2 linked regions of the Saccharomyces cerevisiae S288C genome follow. Changing the gene in region 1 together with any one later gene gives a genetic interaction. Each region holds a gene or a part of one and is shown in the gene's direction. Other genes may lie near its edges. The genes, in order: MRS2 and ALR1.

Region 1 (3,914 bases):
GGTGCCATTCCAGGTACGTATTTAACCCAGCCTGGCTTCCGCAGCCATTCCGCCGGTCGTGCCACCATCTCCGTGAACTTGTCCTCGCAAAAACTCTTGTACGGTTCAGAATTGAAACGCCCAATCTTCTGGAAATGCTCATCTAGCGACCTGCCTTGTAGTGGCGGCAGAGGAAACGATATTGGATCCGTGATGAGCGTCTTCTTCCCCCACAACCCATGGTCCTTTAGCGACTTTTTCGATAACTCCATAAGTTTGTCGCTTTGCTCCACCTCATCTTTACCACCGCAACTACCAAATACCTGTCTTTGCAAAGACTCACCTAAATACTGTATCCCCACAGGATTAATCCTGGGTGCTTCTGCGGTATTCTTCTTTGTGGAGAACCATCGAGCACAAAACTGCACACGCAGCGGCCGCCGCCGCACCATTCGCAGCATGCATTCAGATCTAACCATCAATTTCGTCATACTTGTCCCTCGTTGCTCAACAACTACATATAATCCCCATCTCGACCTCTTCTTTAGAACCGTTCTTTCGTAGTCCATACCTATTGTTGTTTACTGAGTATCGGCTAAAAGTGCGCCCGAGGTCACCCGCCACGGAGAGGGGCGAAAGCGGCCATTTCGATAAGAACTCACGCTATATATCAGCAAAGAACAATAGCAGTTGCAAGAAAAGTTGTTTGTAACTGTTTTACAAAAGAGGCACAGAACAGGCCACGCACCATCCGATACAGCATGTCCTCCGCTATTACTGCTTTGACACCAAACCAAGTGAACGATGAATTGAACAAGATGCAAGCTTTCATCAGAAAGGAAGCTGAAGAAAAAGCGAAGGAAATCCAATTGAAGGCTGACCAAGAGTACGAAATCGAGAAGACCAACATCGTAAGAAATGAAACCAACAACATTGACGGCAACTTCAAGAGCAAGTTGAAGAAGGCCATGCTTTCGCAACAGATTACTAAGTCAACGATAGCAAACAAAATGAGGTTGAAGGTTCTTTCTGCTCGTGAACAGTCGCTAGACGGGATATTCGAGGAAACCAAGGAAAAGTTGTCAGGAATTGCCAACAACCGGGACGAGTACAAGCCCATTTTGCAATCATTGATCGTGGAGGCACTTTTGAAGTTGTTGGAACCTAAGGCGATTGTCAAGGCTCTTGAAAGAGACGTCGATTTAATCGAGTCGATGAAGGACGACATTATGCGTGAGTATGGGGAAAAGGCCCAGCGCGCACCATTGGAAGAGATTGTTATCTCCAATGATTACTTGAACAAAGACCTTGTTTCCGGCGGTGTTGTGGTCTCCAATGCATCAGACAAGATTGAAATTAACAACACTTTGGAGGAAAGATTGAAATTGTTAAGTGAAGAGGCATTGCCCGCCATCAGATTGGAATTGTATGGTCCTTCCAAGACAAGAAAGTTCTTTGATTGATCGACCAGCAGCTTGTATACCTACATACTTACATATACACTCCTAACAGATTTTTTTTTGTATGTTGTTCTTTCCTCTGTGGTGGTCCAGTCTTTTGTCTCTTTTTTTTTTTCTTCTTTTTTTTTTTTTTTTTTTTTTTTGCAGCATTATGATAGAACAATAGGGCTCAAGATCGCACCAAGGCTAACAGTAACGGTATACGCAATCGTAGTGAAAGTGATTTTCAATCAAGCATCTCATGAATCGGCGTCTCCTGGTACGTTCTATATCTTGTTTCCAACCTTTGTCGAGAATAACTTTTGGAAGACCAAACACGCCATTTCTTAGAAAGTATGCTGACACATCCACTGCTGCAAACACCAACAGCACCATATTGCGGAAACAGTTACTATCGTTGAAGCCCATTTCTGCCTCTGATTCACTGTTCATTTCGTGTACGGTATTCAATTCTAAGGGAAATATTATCTCAATGTCCGAGAAGTTTCCTAAATGGTCCTTTTTAACTGAACATTCCCTTTTCCCCAGAGACCTGAGGAAAATAGATAACTCCTCTATTGATATTATTCCAACCATCATGTGTAAGCCAAACTGTATTGTCATCAACTTATTGCATATCAAAGCTCTTATCGAACGAGATAAGGTCTACGTCTTCGATACAACAAACCCTTCCGCCGCTGCCAAACTGAGTGTACTTATGTATGACTTGGAGTCTAAGTTGTCCTCCACCAAGAATAACTCTCAATTTTACGAGCATAGAGCCCTCGAGAGTATTTTCATCAACGTAATGAGCGCACTGGAAACAGATTTCAAGCTTCACTCACAAATCTGTATTCAAATCTTAAATGATCTGGAAAACGAGGTCAATAGACTTAAACTGCGGCATCTTTTAATTAAGTCCAAAGATCTTACGCTTTTTTACCAAAAAACTTTATTGATTAGAGATCTATTAGATGAACTATTAGAAAACGACGATGATTTAGCAAACATGTACTTGACAGTTAAGAAGTCTCCTAAGGACAATTTTTCGGACTTGGAAATGCTTATAGAGACGTACTACACCCAATGTGATGAATACGTTCAGCAATCAGAATCTTTGATTCAGGATATCAAATCTACTGAAGAAATTGTCAACATCATATTGGACGCAAATAGAAATTCCTTAATGTTGTTGGAGTTGAAAGTTACCATCTACACGTTGGGATTCACAGTAGCATCTGTTCTGCCGGCATTCTATGGTATGAATTTAAAGAATTTCATCGAGGAGAGTGAATGGGGGTTTACTTCAGTGGCGGTATTTTCTATTGTTTCTGCCCTTTATATCACCAAGAAAAATTTTAATTCTTTAAGATCCGTGACAAAGATGACCATGTATCCAAACTCACCCGCAAACTCCAGTGTGTATCCTAAAACATCAGCGTCTATTGCCCTGACAAATAAACTAAAGCGAAGGCGGAAGTGGTGGAAATCAACCAAGCAGCGGTTGGGAGTGCTACTTTATGGCAGCAGCTACACTAATAAGGCTAACCTGTCGAATAATAAGATTAATAAAGGTTTTTCAAAGGTGAAGAAATTTAACATGGAGAATGATATTAAGAACAAGCAGAACAGAGATATGATTTGGAAATGGTTGATAGAAGACAAGAAAAATTGAAAGGCGATTATCATGATAAACTATACAATATTATTAGCATAAACCTGTATATATACATATGTAAGAAAAAAGGGTATTTAAAACTCTTTTTAACAGCAAATCTTTTGTCCTTGTAAAAACATAAATAATTAAACTAAGACTAATTATACAATGACACTTTTTTATTAAGAGCAAAATAAACAAAAAGAACTCCTATGCATTATTTTTCGTTTTATTTTAACTTCTTAAATGGAAAGCTTCTCCTTGAACAAACTTTCCAAATCATCAACTGCATCCTTTATAGCGGCTGGTTTATCACCCATACCTTGGAAAACATTACCTTTACCACCAGCCTTACCGCCGATGATACTGGACACCTTTTTGGCAAGCGCAGAACCATCAATACCCTTGGCTAAAGCAGCATTGGAGATGTAACAACCGTGAGCAACACGACCTTCAGGGTCATTACCTGCCAATAAATAGATTGACTTGTCTTTGACAGAATCATTGGATTTCATGTAGTTGATCGCTTCAGTGATAGCTTTAGCATTTGGAGAAATATCAATGAATTTAACTAGGTATGGAGCATTCTCATTGGTTTCGAAAAATGTCTTCACTTCATCAAGAGTTTGTTTGTTTTCTTTTTTGGCCCTTGACTTAACTTCATCCTTCACTGCTTTTTCAATTTTGTTAAATTTCTGCTTCAGTTCATTTTTTGTGATAACAGAAATTGAAAGTTGACCAAGTTTGACACCAAGTTCCTTCAACTTCTTTTCTTTGATTGGAGAGAACGGCAGCTTGTCTGCAGCATCCAAATCAGCAGCAAACTGTTCAGCCAATCT
Region 2 (5,381 bases), 870 kb from region 1:
TGATTCAGTACAGCTCTTAGCAGATTTTGAGAAGCTTAAATCGCACTACCAAAACATTGAGTTTCCTTCTATGAAGACTTTAAAGGAAACTGTTCAGATGGAGGAGACGCCATCATGTGCGGAAGATTATGAAAATTTGAAGATTGAATCTAAAATTGCTAAAAATTTAGGAAGTTCTTTGATAAAAAAAGGCGTGAAAGTTGAAAAAGGCAAATACATAGATATTCACGAGGATCAGCTGTCCACCAATGTCACGATTTTAGACAAGCATGGTGACAGATGGAATGGGCCCAAAAAGATTGAAATTAGGCAAAGCCTGACATTGGCAGACCTGGAAGGAGAAGAACAAGAAGACGCAGATGAAGACAAAGATGATTTAAAACGAAAACACCGGAATTCTGCCTCTATTTCCGGCCCATTGTTACCTCTTGGGTTGTGTTTGCTTTTTTTTACTTTTAGTTTATTTTTTTAGACTTTAATGTCGTTCTCCCTTTTTAAAGAGTAAATACATATTTAAAAAAGTGACTATGGCTATTGCTAAACGTGATAAAAATCAGAGCCTATAACACTCTCTGAAATAACGCTATGCAGGAATTTCCAGTTAAGTTCTTCTTGGGGTGACTTCTTTACTCGGTATGATATGTGTTTTATATGCACAGTACGAGTCCATTAGGGTAAATTAGTGGCCGAGAAACTTTTGCCGCCGAGCTTTTAAGTATCCTTTTGCCACTTCTTATTTAGATAAAGACCTGGCAGTAGTAGTCGTAGAAGATAAGATAGACAGAGAATGAATACTAATAAGATAGCACAAGACGAAGTCCAAGATAAGGTTTTGCAAAGAGCAGAACTAGCACATTCTGTATGGAACTTAAGGTTCAACCTCAGTAAAGTTGCCAAACGGATTCGCATGGAAACAAAGGTATTTCCAGAGATAAAGATAAATGACGCGCAATCACAGTTAGAGCGATCTAGGTGTAGAATATTTAGCCCTGACCTGGAGGAAGAACATGTGCCCTTGATTCAAGGCTTTAAATGTTTGGATTCACCCCCTCCCGTTCCACCAAGCTCATCGCAGGGGGAGGATGAAGAGAACACGGTAGATTCGCAATACTAGGAAATTAGAACCGAATCAAAATAGTTCCGATCCTAACTTTTCTACTAATCTTTGAGATTTTATCTCATTAACTCTTTGACCAAGCTATGAAATGCGTAAGATGAACTTTTGTTTGAGAGTGTTAAGTATTTAGGCGTCTACGCTATGATAGCCTCACTCTAGGACGACTGCTTTTTTGGAACAACTTGTTGTTCTCCGATGGTATATTGTGTGTTTATGTATTGTTCTACGTACTCCTCCGTCTCTTTTTCGAGGGCAACGCTTTGAACTAGTATTTTCCGTTATAGTATGTCCCCCCTATATGCAACCCCTTGAATGGACGAATCTCTAAAATATACAACCTTTTCCTCTATAGGAAACAAGTAGGGTCTTCTACGCTAAGGATTACATAACGCATGTATCAAAAACTGATTTTAATTGATTAATTTCAAAATGTCAGCGTAGGTTCACCTAGACTTGTTTTATAGCTCCATTCAACTGGCGGTAGACACAACTAAAGCCAAAAATTGCCTAAAAATTTCAGTACTCTGGCAGCATCTACTCATTTAATTGCCGTAATACATGGGACTCAATGATCCTTAATATGCTAAATGCTACCCCTCCTTTTTTCTTTTTTATTCCTCATAAAATTGCAAATATCGCAAGCACGTTTTTACTCAGCCCGTCCGCTTTGAGATACAAAAACGATATCTGAAATTAAAATTTTCTCTGGAACATGGTCCATCGAACTAATTATGCATAATAACGTACGTTCCTATCCTATGAACACTTTTCTTTTTCTGGATAAACTGACTTAACAGTAGAAAACGTAGTGTGCAAGGCCATCCTTCAATATAGACTCAAAATTAGAAAGAGTGCCCTGATTAGTTGAGTTTTTCCTTCTATAAGCAAGAAAAATATCATCCTGACAAGAGACAGGTATTATATAAAATATTTCTACATGGAAGTATACTGTTAGTTGAACATAAATTCAACAAAAGGATACCATTACTTCTTCTCAAAGATCATCGAATATTGCTAGAAAGCGTAAAAGCATTTTACCATGTCATCATCCTCAAGTTCATCAGAGTCATCGCCTAATTTATCGCGGTCAAACTCACTGGCTAACACGATGGTTTCCATGAAAACAGAAGACCATACGGGATTGTACGACCATAGGCAGCACCCTGACTCACTGCCGGTCCGTCACCAACCTCCAACATTGAAGAACAAGGAAATTGCTAAGTCCACTAAACCTTCTATTCCTAAGGAGCAGAAGAGTGCAACGAGATACAACAGCCATGTGGATGTGGGAAGCGTACCCAGTAGGGGCCGCATGGATTTTGAAGATGAAGGGCAGGGTATGGATGAAACGGTTGCTCATCATCAATTGAGGGCATCTGCCATTTTAACTTCTAACGCGAGGCCTTCCAGACTAGCCCACTCCATGCCACATCAAAGGCAGCTTTATGTGGAAAGTAATATACACACACCACCAAAGGATGTAGGTGTAAAGAGAGACTATACTATGTCATCTTCTACTGCATCATCAGGTAACAAATCCAAGCTGAGCGCATCTTCCTCGGCAAGTCCTATTACGAAGGTTAGAAAATCTTCGCTGGTCAGTCCTGTTCTTGAGATCCCACACGAATCGAAATCTGATACACACTCCAAGCTGGCTAAACCCAAGAAGAGGACATATTCTACCACATCTGCGCATTCATCTATCAATCCCGCAGTTTTACTGACGAAAAGCACATCCCAAAAATCGGATGCAGATGATGATACATTGGAAAGAAAACCAGTACGTATGAATACTAGAGCTTCTTTTGATAGTGACGTATCACAGGCGTCGAGAGATTCTCAAGAGACGGAAGAAGATGTTTGTTTCCCTATGCCACCACAATTGCATACCAGAGTTAACGGTATAGATTTCGATGAACTGGAAGAGTACGCTCAGTTTGCAAACGCGGAGAAGAGTCAATTTTTGGCAAGTCTGCAAGTGCCCAACGAACAGAAGTACAGTAACGTTTCTCAGGATATCGGGTTTACCAGCTCTACTTCCACTTCGGGATCATCAGCTGCCCTAAAATATACACCAAGAGTTTCGCAGACTGGTGAAAAGAGCGAGAGTACCAATGAAACAGAAATCCATGAAAAGAAGGAAGACGAGCATGAGAAAATCAAGCCTAGTTTACACCCTGGTATATCTTTCGGTAAAAATAAAGTTGAAGGGGAAGAGAATGAAAACATTCCATCCAATGACCCGGCGTATTGCTCTTACCAGGGTACAGACTTTCAAATTCCTAATAGATTTTCTTTTTTCTGTTCCGAATCTGATGAAACCGTTCATGCTAGTGATATCCCTTCCTTAGTGTCTGAGGGACAAACATTCTATGAATTATTCAGGGGAGGTGAGCCAACATGGTGGTTAGATTGTAGTTGTCCAACTGATGATGAAATGCGTTGCATAGCAAAGGCGTTTGGTATCCATCCATTGACTGCAGAAGATATCAGAATGCAAGAAACACGTGAAAAGGTGGAACTTTTCAAATCGTATTACTTCGTTTGTTTCCATACCTTTGAAAATGATAAAGAATCAGAGGATTTCCTGGAACCTATTAACGTTTACATTGTTGTCTGTAGGTCAGGTGTTTTAACATTCCATTTTGGCCCAATATCTCATTGTGCTAATGTCAGAAGGCGTGTAAGACAGTTACGTGACTATGTCAATGTCAATTCAGATTGGTTATGTTATGCTTTAATCGATGACATTACTGATAGTTTCGCTCCTGTAATTCAATCTATTGAATATGAAGCAGATGCAATCGAAGATTCTGTGTTCATGGCTCGTGACATGGATTTTGCAGCAATGTTACAAAGAATTGGTGAAAGTAGGCGTAAGACAATGACGTTGATGAGACTTCTTAGTGGTAAGGCTGATGTTATCAAAATGTTTGCCAAAAGATGCCAAGATGAAGCTAATGGTATTGGACCGGCACTAACATCTCAAATAAATATTGCTAACTTACAGGCAAGGCAGGATAACGCCAGTCATATCAAAAATAATAGTTCGACAACTGTACCAAATAATTATGCGCCCACCACATCACAACCGAGGGGGGATATCGCCCTATACTTGGGTGATATTCAAGATCATTTGTTGACAATGTTTCAAAATTTGCTGGCGTACGAAAAAATTTTTTCTAGATCCCATACAAACTACTTAGCTCAACTGCAAGTGGAATCATTTAATTCTAATAATAAAGTGACAGAAATGTTGGGTAAAGTCACCATGATAGGTACAATGCTAGTTCCATTAAATGTTATCACTGGTCTTTTCGGTATGAATGTTAAAGTTCCGGGGGAGAATTCCAGTATCGCGTGGTGGTTTGGGATATTGGGTGTGCTGCTTTTGCTGGCCGTCCTTGGTTGGTTCTTGGCCAGCTATTGGATTAAAAGAATAGACCCTCCTGCAACACTTAACGAGGCCGCTGAAAGTGGAGCCAAATCGGTTATTTCGAGCTTCTTGCCAAAAAGAAACAAGAGATTCAATGATCGTTCCAAAAATATAAATGTAAGAGCCGGTCCTTCAAACAAATCAGTTGCAAGTCTTCCTAGTAGATATAGCCGCTACGACTGATTAGTGATGTGATAAAGATAGAAGATTTAAGTCACAGAGGCGTGCATCTACGATTTTGGCGTTTCACATTTTTTACACTTAAATTTTAGTGATCTAGCCGTGACCTTGGCAGCAGTTTCCAAAATCATTCCATGACCATGTCATGCTTAAGAACGTTAGACCCAGAACAAGTGGACCTGTATTCTAACTCTTCACTCTTGGGCAAAGATAATAGTATTATCTTTTACCCCATTTTTTGTATGTTTTTTCGTTTATTGAGTTTGGCGTTTCCTATTTAGAAATAGTACAATCCGGTCAATCATTCGATAGTGAAATATATATATTTAACTAGGAAAATTAGTAAAACCTCATTTAAAGATCATTCACCTTGATATATACTACTATTGACCTTTTGTTAATGACCATTTTCGTAAAAATGAACTGCGATTCTCTTCTGGAATTTGTTACCCTACCTTATTCACTAAATCAGAAATAATAATGTGCAGCGCCCCTTTCATAAAGAAGGCAAGTATAGGGCATATAGTTAAAGGTCAGAACTCTTTATCCCCAACTACAAGATCAATTAGAAAATCACATCATCATGGAGGCAGATGATCATGTTAGCTTATTTCGCTTCCCCTTCAAGATTCCCACCTTTCGTGGTAT

The links.
Region 2: of MRS2 (region 1) and ALR1, extra expression of one rescues a mutant of the other (dosage rescue), as found in Saccharomyces cerevisiae (one study listed by BioGRID).

Annotation. Positions count from the first base shown.
Region 1 is NC_001147.6:942,916-946,829, forward strand, and holds MRS2 (Mrs2p), read left to right. Parts: upstream 1-1,680; coding exon 1,681-3,093; downstream 3,094-3,914. Other genes in the region: DNA-directed DNA polymerase gamma MIP1, read right to left, coding at 1-470; VMA4 (H(+)-transporting V1 sector ATPase subunit E), read left to right, coding at 741-1,442; ALA1 (alanine--tRNA ligase), read right to left, coding at 3,318-3,914. UniProt on the Saccharomyces cerevisiae protein: High-conductance magnesium-selective channel that mediates the influx of magnesium into the mitochondrial matrix.
Region 2 is NC_001147.6:72,244-77,624, forward strand, and holds ALR1 (Mg(2+) transporter ALR1), read left to right. Parts: upstream 1-2,156; coding exon 2,157-4,736; downstream 4,737-5,381. Other genes in the region: GAS4 (1,3-beta-glucanosyltransferase), read left to right, coding at 1-472; YOL131W (uncharacterized protein), read left to right, coding at 788-1,114; VPS68 (Vps68p), read left to right, coding at 5,317-5,381. UniProt on the Saccharomyces cerevisiae protein: Plasma membrane magnesium transporter.